Rattus norvegicus: one gene and its partner. The protein of the gene in region 1 purifies or fractionates together with the protein of each later gene. This does not show direct contact. Links are inferred from orthologs where the notes say so. Each region holds a gene or a part of one and is shown on either strand. Other genes may lie near its edges.

Region 1 (7,635 bases):
ATGGAGCAGCGTGACAGCAAGACAGCCTATGCTTGATTCTTGGTTCCAGCACTTCCTAGCTGAGTGATCTAGAGTAAAACGATGACACTCTTCTGTCCTGTTTCCTCACCTAAGAAGTGGGAGTAACAAGGGACACTTCCTTTGGTTGATGTGAGGATGAAATAAGATGATATGGGCTAAGTTTAGAATGCTGTCTGCCACATAAAAGCACTCAGCTAAGGACGGCTATTATTATCAAACTCAAGACCAAGAAGAATGAATGTACTTAGCAACGATAAAAATCAATTAAGTACATACTAAATGCCAACATTCCACTGCTGTGCCAGGCACTGTCCAAAGAGAAGTGTGTCATGCCTAGTCCTTCATCCCACCAAACTAGTACTGCTCTAGGGACAAGGTCAAAAAGCTTGGCTTAATTAAGGAATATAGAATTTAAGTAGGTATTAAACTGTGAGAAAAATTGGCTTGTTATGTTTAATCAAAAAGAACCAAATGACAGAAAACATGTTTTGTGTATTCACTCAGTAGGGGGCAGGTACTGTTTGCCTTTTTAAGACAGGGTCTCACATAGCCAAGCCAGTCTCAAACTTGCTATGTAGCTGAGGCTGGCCTTGAACTCCAGCCTCCTGCCTCCACTTCCCAAGGGTGAGAATTACAGGAACCCGCTTTGTAGCAGGCACTGTCTTAGCATTTCACGCAAATTATCTCAGTTCTCAGAACTCTATGAAATAATTATAACCATAGATGAGGAGACAGCAGGAGAGGTAAAGCAAAATTCACCGAAACATTACAAAACTACCAAGAAGCTGAGGGAAAATCTAAACTCAGTTAACAAACCTCGAAAAGTTCAAAGATCTTAGCTTTTCAGTTAATAATGTAGAGACTGGTATAGGCACATCCCTTTAGTCCCACCACTCTAGAGGCTGAGGCAGGTGGATCTCTATGAGTTCCTGACCAGTCTGGTTTCATAGCCAGGTTCAGGCTAGCCAGAACTACACAGTGAGATCCTGTCTCGAAAAACAAAAAAGCACTCAGGAGGCAGAGTCTGAAGCTAGCCTGGTCTATCTACAGAGCAAGTTCCATGACAGCCAGGGCTACAGAGACACCTTGTCTCAAAACACAAAATAAACCAAGCCAAACAAACAAAATGACAGGGAAACCTCATCCCCTCAAATTAACTGAAAACAATTAGTAAGCTTTCATGTGCCCTGACCCCGGCTACCACTCTGGTGTCTTTTCCTTCTTTACTCCCTGCCTTTCATCCAGCCACGCCTGCCTCCTTGCTACTCTTTGTCCCCTGAAAGTCCTTGCATTTGCCCTCAGCACACACTGCCTTTCTCCACCACTCACAAAGCTCCCTCCATTCTGGTATCTGCTGATTCAGGCATCATCCTACCCAGGCAGTGGTGGTGCAGGTCTTTAATCCCAGCATTTAGGAGGCAGAGGCAAGTGGATCTCTGAGTTTGACGACAGCCTGGTCTACAGAGCAAGTTCCAGGACAGCCAGGGCTACACAGAGAACCCTGTCTTAGAAAAAATAAATCATCTCCTGAGAGAGGCTGTCCTCACCAGGGGATGGTAATTCTCCCTTCCCTCCATGCACTTAGCCTGCTCCATTTCCTTCGCACCACCTGCTATGACTTGATATTATTGGTAAATGCATGCAAACATCCACACGATGTCATGCAGAAGTTCGTTCTCTGCTCCTTACCAGTGAACATCAGTGCTCAAAGAATGGTCGCTGCACCCTGAGTGAAAGAACCCATCATATGCTTGGGACAGAGGTAAACAGCAGAAAAACAAAGATGAATGAACCATGTTTCCTACCTCAAACAGCTAACAATCTAGCAGAGAAGATGAGTATATTACAAAGAAAAAACAAAAAGAAATGAAAAACACACATTCAGCTAGGCAATTCTTTCTTTTTTTTCTTTTTTAAAGATTTTATTTTATGTGAGTACACTGTCTTCAGAAGAGGGCATCGGATCCCATTACAGATGGTTGTGAGCCACCATGTGATTGCTGGGAATTGAACTCAGGACCTCTGGAAGAGCAGTCAGTGCTCTTAACCACTGAGCCATCTCTCCAGCCCCAGCTAGGCAATTCTTTAACTTTTCTCAGCCTGTTTCCTACCTCATAACCTAGGAATATTTGTAATTACTCTACAGGGCTGTTACCGGTTAGGATATTACATGTAAAGCACTTTGCATATGGCCTAGCACACTATGTACTTAAACAGCAGCTAGTAACATTATTAATTATTGACTCTAAGGATCCAATGCCTAATCAGCACTAAATCAGTATCTATCACCAAGAAAACCACTCCTATTCCCCACCATCACCTTTCTTCGTTGTTTTGCTTTAAGACTCACTCTATAGCTCAGGCTGGCTTTGAACCCATGGAAACTGTCTTGCCTTGGTCTCCTGAGAGCCAGGGTTACAGACCTGACTCATCACACCTAGGCTTTGGTTTTAAACCCCTTCTCTGTTCCTCCTTCCTCTTATCCCTTTTTCCTTTTGAAAAGAGACTCAGATGTGGCCCAGGATGGCCTTGAACACACTAGTCAGTCTAGATTTGCCTCTAAGTAATGATAATCCTCCTGCTTCGGCCTCTCAAATGCTATTGTGTGCCAACTATGCCCAGTTTCAACTCTAAATTTTGATTTAAGTGAACACAGACTTGTGATTAAAAGAATCTGTATCAGTTCCTAAGCTTACTATACAACTTAATGCTCAGATATGAAATACCCACAGATAGACATTCAAACTAGGTTAGTGTCAATGAGAAAACTCCAGTCTTGAGAAAACACAATTTTTCTTTCTTTCTCCCTCACACCCCCTTTTTTTTTCTTCTTTCTGGTGGTTCAAAACAAGGTTCCTCTGTATAGCCCTGGCTGTCCTGGAACGCTACCAACAGGCTAGCCTCTGACACTCAGAGATCTGCCTGCCTCTACCTCTCAAGTGCTGGAATGAAAGGTCTGCCCCACCAACACCTTGCACAAAATTCTCTTTAAAATTTTTTTATTATTATTGTATTATGATATGTGGAATATACACACAAATTAATATAAACACACACTCTATGTGCCAGGGAACGAGTATGGATGAGTGTGGAGGTCAGAGGACAGTTCTGTGGAGTCAATTTGCTCCTTCCACGTTATCTGGGTTCTGGGGCTCAAATCAGGTTGTTAGGCCTTCGCAGCAAGCACTTTACCTAAGCCATCTTGCCAGCCCCTTGAATAAGAAATTTCTGATTTAACCTGTATTACAGCTCCAAAATAAAAGGAAACTGGGACACAAAGTACCATACTGTCTGTCTAGTCATCAATAGTATTATTGTGTTTTTAATATCTGGGTTGACAAGCTGACTATCCTTCCTACCTCCAAATCTAACCCTTCCCACCTGAAATCATCTACCTCTCAAATTCTACAGTATACATTTAGATTTAAAAGCAAAGTAACAAGCTGGGTGTGGTGGTGCACATTATTAATTCCAGCACTTGGGAGGCAGGTGGATCTCTCATTTTGAAGCCAGCCTGGTCTACAGGATGAGTTGCAGGGCAGTCAGAGCTATCGAAAAACTGTTTCAAAAATTAAAGTAAAAGCAAAGTGATAGCTTATGTTTTAAAGTTTAGGACATAATTGTAATTTAGAACTGACTCTACCTATTAACAGAGTATAGCTAAGCTCACAAAAAAACACAATGATAAACCCCATAGATGGTTGTCACTATTTTAAAAGTAAAATTGCTTCTGTTGTTCTGTTTACAAGGCTCTGGGCCGATTCTGAGGCTCAAAAAACCACTTTACACTTTAATGGTGAGAAGGGAGTTTTAAGGTAAGCAGTTACAAACTGACTTTGTACCAGGCAGAAAATGAAATCTTCATGTTTTGAAATTTTAAAAACGTCTTTGCTACAAAAGACAACCTAAACTAAAATGTTCCCGGTGCATTCTCCGCCATAAAACAGGAGTCCCTCCCCCCTTAAATACCAGTCATTGACTGATTTCCAGATTAATTACCAGGAAGCACAGTGTGTTAAATCACCCAAAATGCACGCATTCTCCACTTCCCTTAATTGAAAGTTGCTGATGTCCGAGGACCCAACCGCCGAGCAGAATGTGAACCTAAAGTCGCAACCAGTAAGCACCCCCCTGATCCGAACTGAGGAAAACAAGGTGGGTGGGGAGACGGGGACGACTGGAAAAACTCGGCTGACCACTGCGCCATGTCAACCCTGTGCTCACAGTCCTAGAGATGACACACACTCTCTCCCACCCTCTGGCTGTCGGCTCTGTTGACCCCCAGCACCGTCAACTCACAACCCCGAAGACAGGGGTGTGGACCTAAAGGGCCCGAGCCTGACCGACCCGGGAGAAGGCAGCTCGCCGCGCCGGGAGTGGAGGCTCGCGGCTGCCTCAGGTTTGGCCGTAGCTGAGGCCCCGATCCGGCTCCGCGTCTTAGCAGCTTCACCCAGGCCTGTCCCTGAGGCCGCACCCCCGCTCCCGGCTGGGTCCCCTCGCTCACTGGCTTGGCTGATCCGCTGGATGTTGCCACTGCATGTCTGGATGATGCTGTTGAAGTCACGGGGCTGAGGCCCCGACGGCCCGGGATTCCGATACATGTCTAAGGGACCGTAGGACATGACACGGAGCAGAGACCGGGGTCGCGCTTCACGGCGCTCCTACCGGAAGCTGCCACTGACCGGGCCCAGTAGCTGAGAGGAAAACCGGGAAGAGAGAGGGCGGGGAAGGGGCCGTGACTGCGTACACACTGACCCCGCCCATTGCGGTGCGCATGCGCACGCCCCGCCCCATCCCGCAGTGCGCGTGTGCTGCTGGAACTGACGGTAGGTAGTGTCTTGAGAGTTTTCAAACTGCTGGGAGTAAGCGTTCTCGCAAGACTGGACACCTCTAGCTATGCAGCCAACTCAGGACCTGACTTCTTACCCCAGTCTCCTACAGACGGCGTGCCCCGCGCTCAACAACCTGCCTGCCACCAACATGCTCGTCCGCATCCTGCTGCTCGGCGCAGCACTGCTGCTCAGCCACCCTGCAAATTCTCGCTTTTTCAACCCATGGCAAAACAGAGGTGAATGCACGAGCATGGGATTGGACCAGTACAATTCTGTTGTACCCGACAGAATTCGATGGTGAAAACTGTTCAACACCTACATTTCTAACAAGAATGAAGTTACTACCGAAACCAACCGCCAACACGGTGTACTCCGTGCTTACCCACTTCAAGGGATTCTGGAACATTGTCAATATCATTTCCTAACTTTGAGGCCATTCTGGTATACAGGCCATTCTGTGAGTTCCAGGACAGCTAAGGTGACACAGAGAAACCCTGTCTCGAAACACACACACACACACACACACACACACACACACAAAACCAACAAATAAAAAACATTCCCTTCCTGCGGAATTCAGTCATGAGATATATTGCCAGTTAGATCGCATTTGGCTGACAGCCCACCAACTTAAAATGTGCACCACACCGACGAAAACTGGGCTGCCTTCCCCAGCCTCTCCTACTACATCAAAGCCCCTCCTCCTGTGACAGATAACTAACTGCTTGACTCCCGACTCCGACTCTGGATGTGTAAAAGGGAAGAAGAGACTTTCTGATTCAAAAGGTTATGGGAAAAGTTCTAAGAAAAAAATTCATTCCTGATCCCCGAGGCATGAATATGATTTTGCATTCTTCTCCCAGTATTTCAAGACAGACCAGAGACTTACATTCGCCAGAGGATTGGGCCACGGAGTTGCCATAAGCCATGTTTTTGGTGAAACTCCAGATAGACACCATAAACTGCTCCTTTCCTTTTATTTTAATTATTTTTATGCTCAGCGGTGTTTTGCCTATGTGAGGGTGTCAGAAGCCCTGGAATTGGGGTTACAGACAGCTGTGAGCTGCTGTGTGGTTGCTGGGAATTGAGCCTGTGTCCTTTGGAAGAGCAGCCAGTGTTCTTGACTGTTCAACCATCTCTCCAGCCCCAAACTTTGCCTTTTCAAGGATGAAAAATTGAAGTGTCAGGTAATTGATGAAAAGGTATATTCTTTCATCAGAGAGATCAGGGACACTCAGGTGGAGGCAAGCTACCCACATCACACCCCAAACACCTGCAGTTAGCTGCGGGGGGCGAGAGATCTTGGGTCTGACAACTGGTCACATGGTATAAGCTACAATATGAACCAGCCCCACAAATCCCACGGAAGCCTTACTAATCATTTGAGGAGCTCAGGAGAAAAAGAGGCGGCTAAGTTGGAAGCTTTCTGTGGTGACATCGATCCTGTCCTCTCCTGCTGTTAGAAAAGCCTCTTCCAGATGCTGTCTCTGGGGAGACCCTAGTTGAAATCGAGGCACCATTCTCCTTGGAAGGGCTTACATCTAATCTTATCTGTTCTCACTACTAGAAGCCAAGCACGTTTGGGGAAGTAGGTTTTAAGATCACCAATGCTGCCTCAATTCAGTGTCTCAACTTCAGTAACATGAAGGTCCCTTCATTCAATGTTCAGGGCTTCCCCAGACAACCGCCATGATTAGTACAAGTGCTTTGACTCCAGATAAATAGTGACTTAAGTATCAGATCTCTCCAGGTTTGGAACATGCTAGACAGGACAATGAAGTGAAATAGGAGATGCCTTTGGACAAGTTTTCCTACCCATGTTGTATCTCCCCAAAGTCCAGGTCATCATGCAAGAAATTTTGATTTACATTAAATTGTGCCAGATTACCCCAACCGTTACTTCCTTTTCTGCTCTATTCTGAGAACCCAGGCTCAAATATAGGCAAATTAAGCAACCTTGACGTTCAGATCTATAGCCGATTGGTGAGTTTTAAGGGTTTCAAAGTACTTTTATTTCTCCCTCCTCTCTTTTTTTTAAATATTTATTTTTTTATTTATTGTATTATGTGAGTATACTGTTGCTGTCTTCAGACACACCAGAAGGGCACATCGGATCCCATTACAAATGGTTGTGAGCCACCGCGTGGTTGCTGGGAATTGAACTCAGGACCTCTAGAGGAGCAGTCAGTGCTCTTAACCGCTGAACTGTCTCTCCAGCCCCTCTCCCTCCTAATTACTCAATAAAGTAACAATCATATTTTGGGGGCACATACTATGTGTGAATTCTCATTTTAAGTTGCTGGTTTTATAAACACTTTACAGCAAGGAAAGCATCCCCATTTTTATCTTTAAATGTATTTTGTTTGGTTTGAATTTTTGTTTGTTTTTCAAGACAGCGTTTTTCTGTATAACCCTGGCTGTCCTGGAACTTACTTTGTAGACCAAGCTGGCCTCGAACTCAAAGACCTGCGTACCTCTCTGCATCTGCCTCCCAAGTGCTGGGATTAAAAGCAATGGCATCTTGGCTGGACAGTGTGGCACACAGCCTTAATCTCAGCACCTGGAAGGCAGAGGCAGGCAGATCTCTGAATTCAAGACCAACTACACAGTAAGTTCTGGGCCATCAAGGAATACACGGTGAGACCCTGTTTCAAACAAAAACAATGGAGCCAGGAATGGTAGTGCAAGCCTTTAAGGCAGGCAGATCTCAGAGTTCCAGGCCAGCCTGGCCTTCAAAGTAAGTTCCAGAACAGCCAGGGCTACACAAAGAAACTCTGCCTTG
Region 2 (7,186 bases), about 16 Mb from region 1:
TGTCTCAGCCTCCTAAGTTCTAGGATTACAGTCACATTTCTCATATATACTTGTTTTGCAAATAATTTTATTGTATTGTCTTTCTGTCATTAACTTGTGGATCTTTATGTGTTCTTCACATCTGACATTTACCAGAGATGTAGTTCGTGAGTATCTGCCTCCTTGGATTGGCTGCGTTTCACCTTCTTCATAGCACACATTGATGCCAAAAGGTTTTACTTCTGAAAAAGCCCAATTTATTGCTTTAGTTACTTGAATTTTTTTCTTTTGTTGCTCTTGCTTTTGATATTAAATCTAAGAGCCCAGAGCCAAACCTGAAGTTAAATGCTGGCTGGTTTATGTCAACCCAACACCAGCTAGGGTCATTTTAGAAGAGGGAACTTCAAGTGAGGAAATACCCCTGCTTATTTGCCTGTGGGCAAGCAGTTCATGAGTGAGGATTGATGTGGGATACCTAACTTCCTCTTGTGTGGTGCCACCCTGGGAAAGTTGTCCTGGATGATGTAAGAAAACAGGCCGGGCAAGCCATGGGGAGCAAGCCCATAAGCAGCATTCTTCCATGACTTCTGCGTTGTCAGGTCCTGCCTTGATTCCATGGATGCTGGACTACAAACTCTAAGATGAAATAAGCCTCTGCGGCCCGAGGTTGCTTTTGCTTTTGGTCATGGTGTTGTAGCACAGCAACAGAAAAGCTTTACTGTTTTACTTCTAAGAATGTTTATAGTCTTAGCACCTAAACTCAGCTCCCTGGTCTGTCTAGTCTTTCCTTATGGAAAGACTCATTTAGGTACTCCATTTGTTGGTCTTAGCATCTCTTTGAATGGCAGCCTCAGTATTGCTCAGTGGTAGAGCACTTGGCTATCCTATACAAGCATCATTGGCACCAAAGCAGATCAGTCAGTAAATAAATCAGTTCATTTGGCTGTAAACATGTATGTAGGCTCTCAGTGTTCTCTCTTCCTCGCTGCTCTCACTGTACCGCTACTACAGCTTTGATTATTCTAGCTTTGTGGTGAGTTTTGAAATGACTATTATAACTCTTTCTTTTAATATTGGTTTATTTATTCTCAGTTTTTTTGAGCTTACATGTGGAAAAAAAACACCGGAGTGGGAATTACATGACAGTCTTCCTGAGGGAAACGGCTGTTGGGATTATATTGACTCTGTAGGTCACTCTAGGAGTACTGCCATCTCCACAGTATTAAGTCTTCCAATGTGCCAACGTGGATGTCTTTCCCGTTAGTAATACTTTAATTCTTCTCTCTGTCTCTCTGTGTCTGTCTCTGTCTGTGTCTCTGTGCGTGTACATGTGCGTGTGTGTGTGTTGCCTTAGCCTCCCAAATAGCAGGTATGTGCTATTGTACTCAGCATAGAGCAGTGTTCTGTGTTGTTTTGGCTTCTCTTTTGTGAATGGGTGTAGCATATGCATGTGTGTACACATGTGGCCAGAGGTCAAAATCAGGGATTTTCTTCTATTTTCTTTTCTTTTCTTTTTTTTTTTTTTGGTTCTTTTTTTCGGAGCTGGGGATCGAACCCAGGGCCTTGCGCTTCCTAGGCAAGCGCTCTACCACTGAGCTAAATCCCCAACCCTTCTATTTTCTTTATACCTTAATTTTTGAGGCAGGGGCCTACACTGAACCCATAGCTCAGCTGTTGACTAAACTAGTTGACCAGTGAGTCTCTGGGATCCTCCTCTCCCTGCCTACCCCAGGGCTGGGTTACAGGAGCAGACTGCCACACCTGTTTTGTCCTGTGAGCATTCCACACCCAAACTCAGGTCCTCATGTTTGTGCAGCAAGCCTTTCATCCAGCAGACCTACTCAATCTAATGTATAGTTTCTTTATTCTGCAAGACTTCCAACTCTGTAATTATATTGCTTATGATTTATTTTTGAGATTTTTTGGTAAAGACACTGTTCTCTTAATGTCCTTTTTGGATTGCTCATTGTTGGCATGAAGAAAAGCAACTAATAAGTGTTTATCTTAGATGCCGCAACTTGACTGAATTTATTCCTTGTAGTTTTTGAAAAATTCTGTTAAATATCTCTATTTAGTGTGCACGTGTGCATGTGCTTTCACGTGCACTGAAGAGGGAAGGTACTTCACTCAGCAGGCACAGGTATGCTATGGAGGTCAGAGGACAGCTTTCTTGAAGTTGGTTCTCTTCTACCTTGCTAAGGTGATGTCTCTTGTTTCTGCCATGCTGTGCTATGAAATGCAGGCTAACTGGCCCGTGAACATGCGGGCGATTCTCCTGTCTCCACCTCGCATCTTGCCTTAAGGGTGTAGGAATCACTAATGGGCACAGACCACCTGGCTCTAACAATAACTGGTGGTGGGAACACACAATGCATGCACCACATGCAGAGGTCAGAAGACAGACCACCTGCAGGATGGGTTTCCTCTCTTCATCGTGTGGGCCCAGAGGTTGAGCTCAGGTCATTAGACCTGACAACAGGGACTTTACCTGATGAGTCATCTCTCCAGCCTCCTGTGAAGGAGTCTTATGGGTTCTCTGTAGAGTTTTACATGTGGCGTACATAGTTGTTATATTCCTCCTTTCCAACCCAGATGCCTTTCTTCCCTTGACTAATTGCCCTAACCAGGACACCAGGGTAGTGTTGAACAGCCAGGAAAGTGAAGCACCCCGTTGTTCTGCTTCAGATCTTAGAAGGAAGTTGAGTCTCTCACCATAGCATGTGATACTAATGTGGGTTTCCCTGTAAGTGCCCATTATTGAAGTTCCCTTCTATTCCTGGTTTGCTGAGTGGATTTTCCACAAAGGCTGGGCCTCCTTTTGAGTCGAAAGTTTAGCTCAATAAAGTACTGACCTGGGGAAAATACAGTGCCCATAGATTTCATGTGGAGTTTTGTTCTCCTCTCCTTTCTGTGTAACTGTGACCATGTCCATTTAGGTGGTGGACATCATGAGAGTCAATGTGGATAAGGTGTTAGAAAGAGACCAGAAGCTCTCAGAGCTAGACGACCGCGCAGATGCACTGCAGGCAGGCGCCTCGCAGTTTGAAACAAGTGCTGCCAAGTTGAAGAGAAAGTATTGGTGGAAGAACTGCAAGGTAATGTGACAGACCTTCACAGCGGCCTCTCCATTCCCCGAGTGTCACACGGGCACACTGCTGCATTGGGGGACTCTGGGTAGTGGGTAGAACCTGGGCCAACTGTGAGTCTGCATCCCTATTCCTTGCCCACAGCTGGGAATCTAATCCCATGTTTTGTGGCTAAAGTTAGAAGCCATGCAGAATCAGACTGCTCAAAGCAGTCAGGAGGAATAGACCCCAGCCCAGGTACCTGAGAACACACTGATGGGGGCGTTGGCTTTGATGCTCAGTTTGCTGCCCATTCTGGGAATGGCTCCAATTTCAGAAGTTAAATGCTAAGAAACCCCACCTTGTTCAACGAGAGGAGAAAGCAACATCTGAGTATCGTCCAAATCAGACTTAGCAAATGAGAAAGTCAGTCTGTGACCAGAGCTCAGACACTTCCTGTCATGCTTTGTGTAGAAGGGACACTCTGAGATGATGGAACAAGATCAGGAACCTGTGCGGAAATGTTTGTCTTTCCAGGGGTCACAGAGGATTGGGATACACGTCTGAAAGCCCATAACTAAATTTCAGGCCATAACTGAAAATACAGAATTTAGGCTTTTGAAATGATATGTTATTCCATGCTGTAGCTGCTGCGGCAAGCCCTGTCTGTTTTGCAGTGTTAATGGATCTGTCTCGTTGCAGATGTGGGCGATAGGGATCAGTGTCCTGGTGATTATTGTCATTATCATCATTGGTGAGTTACCCCTGGTCATCGAGGGTCGCCTGTGCAGCAGCAAAGGGCGGATTCAGTCCGAGGCTTAAATACTGTTCTTTACCAAATGCGTATTTTGAGATGGTGGTATTGAGGGAAGTTTGAGGCAGGGTCTCAGTGTTCATCCCAGGCTGGCCTTGAACTTGTGATCTTCCTGCCTCAGCATTTCAAGTGCTAGGATTATAGGCATGTGCCACCAAACTGACCCTAAATAATTGAGTTTTATAACTAAAGTCTGGTGTTTTGTTTAGATAGATGGGTGGCTAGATGGCTGGCTAGATGGATAGGTGGATGCATTCATCCTCTAAGAATAGCAGATCTCATTCCTACTATGTGGTCAATTTTTCTCTCCTATGTCTGTTGCCTTTCGAGGAATGTAGTGATTAGCTGAGACTACCTTGATCCATCCCAGCTCTGCCACCTGTAGTAGAGGTTCTATGGCCTTGGGCAAGCAGTCGGGTCTATCCGAGCCTCGGGGTCCTCATGAATAAATGAAGATAGTAATGGCGTCCACCTTGTGTTGTTAGGACAGACCTGGGTGCTACATAAGAAATCACCTGGCATAAGAGAACAGGAATAGTAACTATGTCAATAATATATATAGACAACAGGGCATGTTAGATAGTACATACAGTACATAGTACATATAGTGTATATATAGACAACAGGGCATGTTAGATAGTACACACAGTACATAGTACATATAGTATATATATAGATGACAGGGCATGTTAGATAGTACATACAGTACATAGTACATGCAGTGTATATGTAGACGACAGGGCATGTTAGATAGTACGTACAGTACATAGTACATACAGTATATAGGTAGCACATAGCTACTACCACCACTCTCATCGCTATATATTAGAACTCATTCTGTTTTTAGTCCAGTCTATGGGAACGTCCTAGCAAAGCATGCCTTCTTTGCTCGTTAATGTTAGTAGGTATTTCCTTTTCCTCTTTTGATTTCAGTCTTCCCCAGAATCCTGTAGTATGTAAAGAAGCTACCAGTAGAAAACTGGCCAAATCAATTTCTGTTTGCCCCTGTTTAGACAATAGAAACCCCTACTTAGTATCTACACAGAAAGACTAAACTGCCCTTTTCCTTTCCTTGTTTCTAAATTTTCCCTGCCTTTTAGTGTGGTGTGTCTCTTAATGAAGAACAGAGGAAATGAAGCCTGACGGCAGGATCTTCTTCGAGACTTTCTACTTAGAACTGCGTGTTGTCGCACTTCCCTGTTGTTTTTTTTTTTTCCCAAATGATTATTTGTGTTAGTTTACATACAGTTCAGTGCCTAGAAAATGTGCCTTTGTTTTTCATATACACTCGAGGTGTGACCTGCCCTGCCCACATTTTGCACAGTGCCTTTACAGATTTATGGACTGGGAAAGAGGACTTGTGTGTTTCAGAGTGCTGAGATCTAGGTGGATGTTGTCACTGATGGCTTGTGGATTCAAGGAAGAGGATTTTGTTCAAGTCAGCTGTCCCCACACCTAACATGGACTTCAAAACCACAGTTTAAACCTTTGGGTAATTAGATTCCCAACTTGGACCTTCCAAGAAGAACACTACTGCCTAACAAAAATCAGTGACAACAGCAGGGCGTGCCTTATTTTGATAACTAGGTAACTTTTCATTAAGAGTACTTTTGTAAGCACTACCGACCCCGCTGTATTTAAGATGCTGGTGAAGAGCTCATGCTCTTATGTTAGATACGGAGATGTTCACTTTCTAGTTCTTGTTGTGTATCACTTCTAAAACAGTATTTTAATCAGAAATAACCCTTTAGGAAGTTTTTATAGAACTGTGACCAAAGTTTCTATTTTGCCAAAAGTTAAATACAAATGAATTGTCCATAAGTTTGTCCCCCAGTAGTAAATTCAAATAAGTGCCAAGTGTAACTCAAGGTGCCCTTTAAGAAAAAATGTTAGTACTGTCTGAGCCCGCAGCATCTTGACAGTCCTTCCTGTGGAATGCTGTAGGTACAGCTTCTCATCCTGATGTGGTTTCTTTCCTAGAGCGATAGAGGTGACCTCAAATCACACCTGTATGCAAGATAGTAGTTTGCAGACTGCACTAGCCTGTGGCCACTAGTGTGATGAGAGCAGCATCTGAAGCCTCACAAAGGCAACAGTCTGCACAGAGTTCTGGGAGACTGTGGCAGTGCCACCAGGATGTCCTGAAATGTGTGTCTGTGTGCAAAGCAGCATTAGCCAAAATGTCATAGGATCTGGTTCTAGTTTTTTTTATCTGATCCCCTAACATTACTGAAACAAAACAAGTGTTGAAGACATGCCTTGCCACATAGCTAGGGCCTCTGTCCTGGTCTGACCCCACAACTTTGGTGCTGTCTCCTCGTACTCTGTCCCATGTAAGTCGTTGGCTCCTGTATTAACACAGTAATACCTCGCTTCTCTGTGCATTTAGCTGGGAATGTTCCCGCTATGGTGACCGGAATAAAGTTATTAACATGAACCTGTGTCTTGTTTCTTGGAGTGGAGTGGGGGATATACCTGATGCATGTCCTAAACTTCTAACCCTTGATGTTCTCCCTCGCTCCCTGACAAACTACCTTTTTTCTGCTCTATTCTCCTAGGAGTACATAGTCCTTAGGGTTCTCTAGAGCAACAGAAGATAAGATGAAGTGTGTGTGTGTGTGTGAGAGAGAGAGAGAGAGAGAGAGAGAGAGAGAGAGAGAGAGATTTTTAGATTGGCTGATGTATATGGTCTACCTCACACTGAGGAAGCTATGAAGCTGATAGCTGCTTGGTCCATGGGCCTGAGTGATCAGAAGTTCCCATGTGGCACTGCTGGCCTGGGGGATTCCTGGCAAACATCTGGTGTTCAGCCCGTGCAGAAGCCATGATAACACGTTGAGTTCTGATAACAGCAGAGTACAGCAGCAGCAGCAAGGTGGGTTAATTTGCCTGTGAGTGAAGGCAAAGAGCAGAGCTTCACTCTCCCATCTTTATCTGGACGGCCACCCAAGGTCGCTGCCTACATTTAGGATACGCCTTCCCCACTTCACACAGTCTGAGCAGGGAAATCATCAGGAATACCTGGCAGGCTTCGGCTTAGTTGATTCCACACCCAACAGTCAACAACTGAAATTAACCATCACATACCTTAAACGAAAAGGGCTTTTCAGAGCAGAGAAGAGTCTGTAGCTGATTTGGAGTTACCAGACCAGTCAGGATTTGGCCATTGGGCTGCTTTTTTTTTTTTTTTTTTTAAGATTTATTTATTTTATGTATTTGAATACACTGTCACTGTCTTCAGACACACCAGAAGAGGGCATCAGATCTCACTACAGATGGTTTTGAGCCACCATGTGGTTGCTGGGAATTGAACTCGGGACCTCTGGAA

The links. The genes of interacting proteins can lie anywhere in the genome.
Region 2: the proteins of Stx12 (region 1) and Vamp3 purify together in Homo sapiens (affinity purification with mass spectrometry; 3 studies listed by BioGRID and IntAct, counting the BioPlex papers as one, with this or other methods). This does not show direct contact. The link is inferred for Rattus norvegicus from reciprocal best matches to the Homo sapiens genes STX12 and VAMP3.

The regions. Positions count from the first base shown.
Region 1 is NC_086023.1:150,371,626-150,379,260, forward strand, and holds the start of Stx12 (syntaxin-12), read right to left. Parts: upstream 4,722-7,635; 5' UTR 4,644-4,721; coding exon 4,526-4,643; intron 1-4,525. UniProt on the Homo sapiens protein: SNARE promoting fusion of transport vesicles with target membranes. Together with SNARE STX6, promotes movement of vesicles from endosomes to the cell membrane, and may therefore function in the endocytic recycling pathway.
Region 2 is NC_086023.1:166,780,036-166,787,221, reverse strand, and holds the end of Vamp3 (vesicle-associated membrane protein 3), read left to right. Parts: intron 1-2,915; coding exon 2,916-3,074; intron 3,075-3,746; coding exon 3,747-3,798; intron 3,799-4,958; coding exon 4,959-4,975; 3' UTR 4,976-6,295; downstream 6,296-7,186. UniProt on the Homo sapiens protein: SNARE involved in vesicular transport from the late endosomes to the trans-Golgi network.